Callithrix jacchus: one gene and its partners. The protein of the gene in region 3 interacts with the protein of the main gene of each other region in a pairwise test. Links are inferred from orthologs where the notes say so. Each region holds a gene or a part of one and is shown on either strand. Other genes may lie near its edges. The genes, in order: CRX, CSNK2B and PRKAB2.

Region 1 (3,650 bases), on a different chromosome or scaffold from region 3:
CACACCTACATCCATCATCCATACATGTTGTGTACATGAACACACACATATATCACACCTACAGCCATCCATCCAATCATACATGTGTGTGTACATGAACATCACACCTACATCCATCCATCCAATACAAACATAATACACACATACAATTATACACACACCATACACACATACACCATGCATACATTTACCCATCTATCTGATCATACATACATATACCATACATATATTCATCCATCTGATCACATGAACATACAAATATACAATTATAGACACATAAACTGTACACATATACATCATACATAGCTGCACTTTAATCATACATACATACAACACACATTTCATTTATCAATCCAATTATACATACATGTGTGCACATGTGTACATCATGCATACATCATACAAAATACATGCATACAATTATACACACATACGCCATATACACATTCATTATGCATCCATTCATCTGAGCGTACATGCATACCTCATACATGTATATGTCATGTACACATTCACCAGTCCATCTGATCACACATACATTATCCAGACGCTTACCCATCTGATGATACATACAAGTGTACACACATACATCATACATAGGTTCATTCATCCATCTTATACAATTGTATGTACATACATCATACACACATGCATCACACATGTATTAATGGTCTATCTATACATGTGTACATCATATGTACATTCATCCATTCATCTGATCATACAAGCATACAAATATACAATTATACACACATAATCCATCCAATCATACATATATACCCTCCTACAACACACACTTTGTCCAATCATATATACATGCATACACTCATATATAAATACACCCATCCATCCATTCATGCATGCATACATACAACTGTACATGTGTACATACATCATGTATACCTACATCATGCATGCATACATTCAACCATCTATCTTACCTATGTGCATTCATGCAAACACATATATACATGTATCCATTTAATCATACACAGATACTCATGCATGCACAGACACTCATCCACGCTTCCAATCACACATACACACACACACATATACAGTCACACATACATACATTCATCTATGCATCCACCCACCCACCCATCAGTCAGTCAGTTCATAAATGTGCATTAACCATCTTCTACTACTCTGAGGGTCCATCCATGGAACTGACATTCTAGTTGGGAGAGACAGAGCCTAAATAAACAGTAGATACATAAATCAGATGGTATCTTAGAGGGTGATAAATACTGTGGAAGAAACAATTGAGCGGGGTAAGGGGCAGCATGGAATCAGGGTCGCGGGGAAACACCGAGGGGTGAGATGCTGTGGTCAGTGTGCGTCTCATTGATGGATAAGCAAAGACGCAAACAAGGCGATGGGGCCTGCCATATGGTTATCTGGAAAATGAGCATTTCAGAAAGAGGACACTGAGTGCAAAGGCCCCAGGCAGGGGGGTGCCCAGCAGGCAGGTCAGAGGCCAGCGTGGCCGGAGAGGATCGGAGGGCGGTGAGAGCAGTAAGAGGTGGGGAATCAGTGGGATGGCGGAGGGAGGAATTTTTGTCCCCTTTATAACTGTGGCTGTAACCCTGTGATCTCTCCCTCCTCCCATCACTCTGGGTCCAGGGAGGGCCCATGGAAGGTCACAGGAAGGGTCGGGAGGGGTCCGGGGACCCACCACCGCACCTGAACCCTGGACTCGGGCAGACTGATCTTCAGAGCCACCTCCTCGCGGGCATAGACATCCGGGTACTGGGTCTTGGCAAACAGTGCCTCCAGCTCCTCCAGTTGGCTCCGGGTGAAGGTGGTCCGTTCCCGCCGCTGCTTCCTGGGGGCGCCTGGGGTGGGATGGGAAACAGGACCCTCAGATCATCCACATCTGCTGCCATGAGGAGGCCCTGAGGCTGGTGGGATGCCAAGAATTCCATCCTGGGTGCCATCTGCTGAACTAGGGGTGGAATACACGTTCCCTGCCCTCCTACACCTCACCCTGTCCTGGCATCCTAGGGCTCATGCCTGACCCCAAGGGGAACTGGCTTTAGCCCTACAAGGCAGTGTATCCATCCAATATATGTGTCAGTCATTTTCCCTCTTCGAAACTCTCTCATGCACCGTCTAAGACACATTCAGTTGAAGCATGACATTAACAATTTCTAGCCTATAAAAGTAGCAAGTCCACACCGCTCAACTTAGTGGGGAAAAAAAAACCAGCTAAAGAATAACACTACAAATAACTGAGTGCTCACTTCACTCAAAAATAAGGATCTATAAAAATTAGCCAGGTGGGGTGGCAGGCGCCTGTAATCCCATCTACTTAGGAGGCTGAGACAGGAGAATCGCTTGAACCCAGGAGGCGGAGGTTGCAGTGAGCTGAGATGACACCATTGCACTACAGCCTGGGCAACAGGAGCGAAACTCTGTCAAAAAGAAAGAAAGAAAAGAAAAGAAAGAAAGAGAAAGAAAGAAAAGAAAGAAGAAAGAAAGAGGAAGGAAGGAAGGAAGGGAGGGAGGGAGGGAAGGAAGGAAGGAAGGAAGGAAGGAAGGAAGGAAGGAAGGAAGGAAGGAAGGAAGGAAGGAAGGAAGGAAGGAAGGGGAAGGGAAGGGAAGGGAAGGGAAGGAAGGGAAGGAAGGAAGGAAGGAAGGAAGGAAGGGGAAGGGAAGGGAAGGGAAGGAAGGAAGGAAGGAAGGAAGGAAGGAAGGAAGGAAGGAAAGGGAAGGGAGGAAGGAAGGGAAGGAAGGAAGGAAGGAAGGAAGGAAGGAAGGAAGGAAGGAAGGAAGGAAGGGGGAAGGGAAGGAAGGAAGGAAGGAAGGAAGGAAGGAAGGAAGGAAGGAAGGAAGGAAGGAAGGAAGGGAAGGGAAGGGAGGGAGGGAGGGAGGGAAGGAAGGAAGGAAGGAAGGAAGGAAGGAAGGAAGGAAGGAAGGAGAAAGAGAGGAAAGAAAGAAAGAAAGAAAGAAAGAGGAAGGAAGGAGGGAGGGAGGGAAGGAGGGAAGGAAGGAAGGAAAAAGAAAGAAAGAAGGCTTTGTAGGCCAGGTGCAGTGGCTCATGCCTGTAATCCCAGCGCTGTGGGTGGCTGAGACAGTTGGATTATTGAGACCAGCCTGGGCAACACAGGGAGACCCCATATTCACAAAAAAATAATAATTTTTTGTATGTTTTATTAATCCAGATCCTGCACAATCTACAAAAAAATTTTAAAAGTTAGCCAGCCATGGTGGCCTGTACCTGTACTCCTAGCTATTCGGGAGGCTGAGGCAAGAGGATAGCTTGAGCCCAGGAGTTCAAGGCTGCAGTGAGCCATGATTGCACCATTGTACTTCAGAGTGAGCAACAGAGTGAGACTCTGTCTCAAAAATAAAATATATATATATATACACACATACAAGCTTTGCTGCCTAGTCCTGATGTTTCACACCTGCAATCCCAGCTACCCTGGAGGCTGAGGTGGGTGAATCCCTTGAGCCCAGGAGTTCAAGGTTGTGGGGCGCCATGATCACACCACTGCACTCCAGCCTAGAAGACAGGGTGAGACCCTGACTCTGAAAAATAAATGAATAATAAAGTGTTGCTAACAGATGAAAATTCCTCGCTGTCCCTTCCAGATTGCATCCCCTCTTCCCCGCCCTAAAAGGAACCTCTATCCTAAATTTCT
Region 2 (3,750 bases), on a different chromosome or scaffold from region 3:
TGTTCCTTGAGGAAGAGCCAATCTATAACAACTCTCTGTTCAAGGTCTGTCTCCCTCCCTGAAAACGATCCCTTCAGGATGACCCCCAATCAGGATTAAATTCCAAGGCCCAAGTTCTGGGGTTCTTCCCCTCTTCTCAGCTAGCTTCCTTAGCTGGGCTGAAACATGACTTCTTGCTGCAGGAACCTGTTTCTCTTACTGCTCAGAAAGAGGCAAGTGGGAGCAGAGTGGCCTCACCATCTGGGCAATGCCACGGTTGGTAAGGATGTAGCGGGCGTGGATCAATCCATAAAGCATCTCGGCTGCCTGCTCAATCAAGTCACTCTGGTTGGGGTTGTCTTCCAGTTCTTCATCTGAAACACAGCCCAGCCAAATGCAACCACTTGTTTTTCAGCTTTCCTAGGTGCCCTGCCCATACCCAGGGGCTGCTAGCTATTCAGTTTGCCTAGCACCTACTTTTGAGCCTTACCCTATCCAACACCTGGGCATGTGACCCAGAAACCTGGGCTTCTGACGCTTTCACCAGCCCAAGGCAGAGCTCTGCCTTCTCTTCACACCTCGTCAGCCTCTGCCCTCTCCTCTCCTCTCCTCTCCCTCCCAACTCCCTCCTCAATACATAAATGCGACAATATCAATGCAGAAGATCAAACTCCGGACTAGAAGGTCCAAGGTAGGAGAAACAGACAGCAAATGAGACCCATGAGGAAACCCATTTTGGAATAGATCCGAACTGTGGATTTAAAAAGTATGGGAAACAAGTGATAATGCGTCACAAAACTAGACAAGAGTCAGGTGGAGGATCAAAATAAAGCATGAATTTGGGGTTAAGAAAATCAGAGAACCAAAGGAAATTTCAAAATTCAAGCAAGTGAATAGGGATCTGAAGAGAAAAAAAAGTACACGCACACACACAAACAACCCTGAGGGTGCCTCACCAGGCTCCAGGTCCAAGATCATATCTAGAGCTTGTCGATAGTGAGGGACCTGCTCATTGAGTCCAGTAAGATTAAATTTGTCCTGGATGTAGTCTTCATCCACCTGTCAGGATATGGAAGCCAAGAGGGAACCCATGTCAAAATCTCCATCTTTAACGTGAGCAAAATGCTCTAACTGATGCCTTGTTATCAACCTAACTGCTCTGTTCCCCCTTGTTTCTCACTTGAAACTCAGCAGAAGTACTCGCGTCTCTTCTCTGTTCACCTATACTCCCTCCCATAAAAGCTTTGGCTTTTGTTTTCTAAGGATAAGCAGGTACAGCAGTCTTTTTCTTAGAGAGACATTCTTTTCAAGATCTCTATCCTTATTCCTGTCTCCCATCGCTAGGAACCATTTTGTCCTCTCAGCTGGCTAAGGAAGGTGGAAGCTGAACAGCCTGGTTTCTGAACAAAAGATTTGGATACGTAGCATTTCAATTCTCCTAACGGCCACCTGAGACAGGTACTAGCAGTGCCACTTTAGTAATAAAAGACACACGCTGGGTGCACTGGCTCATGCCTGTAATCACAGCCCTTTGGGAGGCCAAGGCGGGCAGATTACCTAAAGTCTGGAGTTCGAGATCAGCCTGGGCAACCTAGTGAAACCCTGTCTCTACTAAAAATACAAAATTAGCTGGGCGTGGTGGCAGCCACTTGTAATCCCAGCTACTTGGGAGGCTGGAGCAGGAGAATCACTTGAACCTGGAAGGCAGAGGTTGCATTGAGGTGAGATCACACCACTACACTCCAGCCTGGGTGACAGAGCAAGACTCGGTCTCAAAAAGAAAAAAAGAGAAAGTCACAAATTGCCTAGTCCAACGTTATATTGCTGGAGGATGGCAGAGTTGGGACAGGCCCCAATTTTGCCACTTTAGCACAGATTTGCCGGGGGTTACTGAGGGGACTCTTCATTGATGGGAAGTTTTCAAGTAGCATATAAGAGAACGATGAGGAAGTGGAATATGTGGAGAAACGTCTAGTGGGAATCTATGTGGAGCTGGCAAGGAGGGGGGTTGAAGAGAACTCACTTCACAGAAGAATTCATTGCCACGGAGCCCACAGAACCAGGAAATCCAGGACACCTCCTCTGAGCTGCTCATCTTCACGTCAGCTGGAAAACGAAGAATGTCAGTAAAGCTCAAGTTCTCCCTCCTTGCCTCTGGTATCCTCCCTCCTCCCACATTCGGCCCTCCAACCACGGGAGACTTTAGAATTTGGAGCCGTCCTTTTTTAAAGGATCCCAAACTCTGAAACACTCCTCTCCAGCTCCTCTAATTTACGTCTCAGCTCCTTTTCTTTGAGGTTAAACACACTTTGGGGTCCCACCACTTGAGAGAACCCAACAGATACTTTGACCCACCAGCCTGACCCACATCCCTGGAGCTCCCGAAGGCCAGGGCCCTCTCTACTTTGTGTCACCTCCAGCACGGACCTCGGCTCAGGCTCCCTACCACTGCAGCTCTCTGCATGACCCCGGCGCCTTTCCCAAGCGTTTCGAAGTTTATCATTCTCTAGCAAGAGCCGGGCCCCTCCTCTTCTTATGGGCTGGAGCGACCGTCAAGTCCCTTTCACTGGAGTCCACACATCTTGCCTCCGCTCCTCAGGCCACCTCTCCCTCCTTTGTGCCGGACCTGGTCGCTTCCTCCCCCGCCCCCACATCAAAGTACGGAGACCCCATGTGCTGCTCCCAACAAGAGACTCTGAGTAGCGACGACCTCAGACTCACCGCCTGGACGGGGACCAGGACTGGGGTGGGGTAGGGAAGTCGCTAGTTCCAAAGAACGGCGGCGACCGCTACAGCGCAGGCCGCGGACCCGACCGCGGCAAGAGAAGTGGGGTGGGGGGGAGTGGAAATTGGGGAGGGTGGGGAAGAGGGCAACACGCAAGCGCCAAGGGTCAGGTGCTGCGATGGATGCCGGGACACGGAGTCCCAGGTAGAAAGAGAAACTGGTGAAATGAAGGAAAAGCGAACTACCAATCCCAGGAAGACCCGCGGACGACCTGGCTGTCACGAAGCCCCGGAGGAGGACGCTTGCGGGCGGGGCACAGCGAGAAGCCACCGGAAGCGGAAGCCAGGTATGACGTTTGGGGCCAGGGAGCCTGGGAAATATAGTTGTGTGCTCACTGGGAGAAAAGCCGAGATGGGGCGGGGAGAGGAGGGAGACACGCAGTTCCCGTCTAGTTCCGGCGCAGCGGGGCGCTGCTGCCCAGGGGACTGGCCCATCCCCGGCCAATCCGCTGGGTCCTTATTGATTGTTGAGCCCCTAGTGAGAGTCAGTCCCGCCGGACACCCTTGACTGGCCTCCTGTTACCCTCCCGGCTCTGGCCTCATGAGGCGAGAGGTGCAGTTTGGCTCCGTGCGTAGGGACTTGGGTTGGGTGGGCTGGGCTGAGCTGAGCTGAGCGTTGTGAGAACCAGAACGGCCCAGTGCGGTAACCTGAGGTGGGGCCAGCCATTTCGCTCGTCCCCTTGCACTTCTCCTTTTACGCTCTAAGTGTGACCTTAGAACCCTGGTCAGAGTAATGGTGAGGGGCAGGCGTGACGTTATTTCATTTCACGGCTTCTCGGCATTCCACAAGTTTCCCTCCGCCTCCTGAGGGCCTTTCCTAACACGGAGAGTGGATTCCCAGGTCCAGAAAATGGACTTGGAGCGAGGGGGCGGGGAGGGGGGCGGTTCACGTTGAGGAAGGCGAAGGGCATTGTGGGGGCGTATAGGTAAAAGTAGAACCCTAACCGACAGATCCTGGTGCTCGCGCCAGCGGGGCGCGCAGAGCTT
Region 3 (3,650 bases):
TAATCAGGGTATGTCTAGGAAGCTTTTTTACTTTATTTTAACATAATTACAGTATTATCTAGGAAGCTTTTTAAAAATAGATTCCCAGATCTTATATCTGAATCAGAATCTTAGGGTTATTCTTAGGCATATGTAAAATTCTTGCAATTCTAACACAGTCAGTCATGCAAGAGTACATTGTTCTGAGAATATGTAGTTTTCTCTTAAGTCAGTTCCTTATATAATGTGAAAGTCCTTTCAATTCTCTTTCTCTGTTTACTTTGGATTATCCTGCTACTGATGTCTCGTACTGTAGTTTTGGGGAATATCACGAGAATGTATGGAGGGGAAACTATGTCAACCATTTTGAAAAGAAGGCCCAAATGAATAAGCCAGTCCTTTTTGGGGGGGGGGGAAGCCCACATTATTCTATTTGGTAATATTTAGGCTTAATAATCTACAGTCTCATTTACCAGAGTCACTTAAACCAATCTGAAACAGGGGTCAGCAAACTTTCTGTGAAGGGCCAGGTAGTAACTATTTTAGACATTGTAGACCATGCAGTCTCTGTTACAGCTGTGCAATTCTGCCACTGTAGCTTGTAAGTAGCTATAAGTAATACAGGTAAACAAGGCAGGGATGGTGGCTCGCACCTCTGGTCTCAGTTTCTTGGGAACATGGCTTGAGCCCAGGAGTTCAAGGCTGCAGTGAGCTATGATCACACCACTCACTGCATTCTAGCCTGGGTGACAGAGCAAGGCCGTTTCTCAATAAATAAATAATAGGTAGACAAATAAGTGGAGCTGTTTTCAAATAAAACTTGATAAAAGCATCTGGCTCACTGGCTGTCTGCCAACTCTTGGTCCAAAGGATGATAATGAAAAGAAACAGGAGATGTTTTTTTTTGCAATCCCACATACCTCATTTGGTAAGATTACTACTCTTGATAAAGGAAACTGTATTTTCGATCTCTTGCTCCTTGAGGTTCTAGAATTTTTGTTCCTACTCCTGAAATAATTAGTATAAACCTAGCACAGGGGAGCAAGTAAGATTTCATAGCTACTTCTCAAGTTTTAAGAAATCAGTGATCCGGTTTTTGAGTTTTTACTGTTTCTTCTTTTTGTAACTTATTAGCAGAAATAGCGTTTATGAATTATGAATTTTGATGTCTCTAACTTCCATTACAGCTGGTAATTGAGAGCTATTCATATTTGCCTATAAAAATATATATTATTTTTTAATAGAACCATACTTTGTTTTTATATGTTTTTTTCTCTTAAAGACTCAGAAGTGTATAATAATTGCCTGCTTATGAGTTAAACTAGTGGTAGGGAATAGTTTTTTCTTGCTTTTTTTTGAAGGAGAGTCTAAGGCGCGGAAAGGGTGGATGATGCAGGTAGACTCAAAAGTCAGGCTATGATTTAGGAGGTACTTAAGCATAGGCCATTTGACCATTTTTGGTCCTAAATGAGTTTTTTTTTTCTATAATTTGTTCAAACTCAGATTTAGTTGCTGATTGTGGGGTTTATATCCTTAGCTAAAGCCTAGCATCCTTCTCTACCCTAGGGAGGAGAGTGACCTTTTAGAATTCTTGGGTCACAGTTTATTCTAGGGATGACCTACTCCTTCTTACAGCTCCCTGGGGACAAAGAGTTTGTATCCTGGCAGCAGGATTTGGAGGACTCCGTAAAGCCCACACAGCAGGCCCGGCCCACTGTTATCCGCTGGTCTGAAGGAGGCAAGGAGGTCTTCATCTCTGGGTCCTTCAACAATTGGAGCACCAAGATTCCACTGATTAAGAGGTGAAGACAAGTGTCTTGGTTGAATCTAAGGGTCCAGGAATAGTGACCTAATTTCTTTTCTCAGAAGAGAAACGCCACTGGACTACTTTTCCCCACTGCTAAGGACTCTCTCTAGAACATGCCCTTTCTGTGGCCACTTAGTATATCTGTGGGATTTTTTTAAACTTCATAGTGAGTCAGAGATGTTTTACCCCTTCGAATATGATTGCCTCAGAGGGATTCATAATAGCTTTGTGGCTCCATTCATTAGGGCTGTGCTTGTGGGAAGTCTTCTGTAACTGGCTGAGGCTTGTTGCCCTGACTTCTGCACTAAAGCAAAACACATTTTGAAGTTCTAGCTAGTCATGTTATTTGTTGCTCCCACAGCAATAATGAATGGTCTAACTGGTTGTCAGAATGGCCCATTGTATGGTAGGTCATTTTCCAGAAAAGGTTCACGGAAATAGAGAAAGGATACCTTGAGGCACTGTGTCCTGAACCTACCTATCTTCTTTGCACTGGCTAGGAGCTTGTTCTGCTGAAGCAACGTAGTTATGCTAGGGTGCACCATTCCAGAGGATTCATGCTTTTATTATTCTTTTCCAGATACTGGTTAAGAACTAACGTTGTTGGGAGGAGCTGGTAAATACACGTCCAAGATGATACAAAAGAGGAGAATGGGTTTATACATTGTTTTTCACACCAGGGGATACAGTGGCTTAGGAATCTGGGAGATCCTTCATGTGATACTGTGATTGCCACTTGTTTTTTATATTTGGTCTTCTGAAAGGAACTCGGCCTGTTTGCTTTTCTTTTTCTTCATAGCCATAATGACTTTGTTGCCATCCTGGACCTCCCTGAGGGAGAACACCAATACAAGTTCTTTGTGGATGGACAGTGGGTTCATGATCCATCAGAGGTAAGGCCTTGATCTCCAAGGGTAACCACTGACTTAGCAGCCCCATTTTAGCTGTCACTTCTGTCAAGACTGATGGGCAGCTGCTCCCCTACACTGGAGGATTTCTCTCTTGATAAAATATGGAGGTGCTGAGTCTAATCACATGTAAATTTTAGGATAAAAGAGGAAGGTTGGATGGAAAAGATGGATTTGAAAGAGAGATTCAGTATTTTTTTCTTTTCCCTGTTTCAGCCTGTGGTTACCAGTCAGCTCGGCACAATTAACAATTTGATCCATGTCAAGAAATCGGATTTTGAGGTGTTCGATGCTTTAAAGCTAGACTCTATGGAAAGTTCTGAGGCATCTTGTAGAGGTAATTTTGTAGTATTTACTCTTTTTTTGCTGTGTCTTTCTTGCACCTTCCCAAAAGTTGTTTCTGTATGTATATATATATAGAAAGAGAGAGACAGAGAAAGAAGAAGAGAGTGAGCCAGGGTGGGGCGGGGGGTGAAGGGGAGAGGGGGAAAGAGACATTGAGATTTCTCTTGTAAGCTTAGGTCTCTTCTTTGCTGCAGACACCCACACACACGCACATGCTAACAAAAGTCTCATGGTGTAATGTTTACCGTATCACATGTGATACACTCCATTTGCTACATTATCTTTTTTTTTTTTGAGACGGAGTTTCGCTCTTGTTACCCAGGATGGAATGCAATGGTGCGATCTCGGCTCACCGCAACCTCCGCCTCCTGGGTTCAGCCAGTTCTCCTGCCTCAGCCTCCTGAGTAGCTGGGATTACAGGCACGCACCACCATGCCCAGCTAACTTTTTGTATTTTTAATAGAAATGGGGTTTCACCATGGTGACCAGGATGGTCTCGATCTCTTGACCTCGTGATCCACCTGCCTCGGCCTCCCAAAGTGCTGGGATTACAGTGCTACATTATCCTTTATAACTCAGTAATGGGCTACAGCCCATAGTTTGAAAAGCTA

What was found.
Region 1: the proteins of PRKAB2 (region 3) and CRX interact in binary tests that used the Homo sapiens proteins (3 or more experiments, as listed by UniProt). The link is inferred for Callithrix jacchus from reciprocal best matches to the Homo sapiens genes PRKAB2 and CRX.
Region 2: the proteins of PRKAB2 (region 3) and CSNK2B interact in a two-hybrid assay, tested with the Homo sapiens proteins (2 studies listed by BioGRID and IntAct). The link is inferred for Callithrix jacchus from reciprocal best matches to the Homo sapiens genes PRKAB2 and CSNK2B.

What each region holds. Positions count from the first base shown.
Region 1 is NC_133523.1:41,742,365-41,746,014, reverse strand, and holds part of CRX (cone-rod homeobox protein), read right to left. Parts: intron 1,839-3,650; coding exon 1,687-1,838; intron 1-1,686. UniProt on the Homo sapiens protein: Transcription factor that binds and transactivates the sequence 5'-TAATC[CA]-3' which is found upstream of several photoreceptor-specific genes, including the opsin genes.
Region 2 is NC_133505.1:39,169,825-39,173,574, reverse strand, and holds the start of CSNK2B (casein kinase II subunit beta), read right to left. Parts: upstream 2,599-3,750; 5' UTR 2,483-2,598; coding exon 2,407-2,482; intron 2,086-2,406; coding exon 2,003-2,085; intron 1,039-2,002; coding exon 936-1,038; intron 354-935; coding exon 238-353; intron 1-237. UniProt on the Homo sapiens protein: Regulatory subunit of casein kinase II/CK2.
Region 3 is NC_133519.1:7,286,676-7,290,325, reverse strand, and holds part of PRKAB2 (5'-AMP-activated protein kinase subunit beta-2), read left to right. Parts: intron 1-1,614; coding exon 1,615-1,781; intron 1,782-2,585; coding exon 2,586-2,679; intron 2,680-2,910; coding exon 2,911-3,031; intron 3,032-3,650. UniProt on the Homo sapiens protein: Non-catalytic subunit of AMP-activated protein kinase (AMPK), an energy sensor protein kinase that plays a key role in regulating cellular energy metabolism.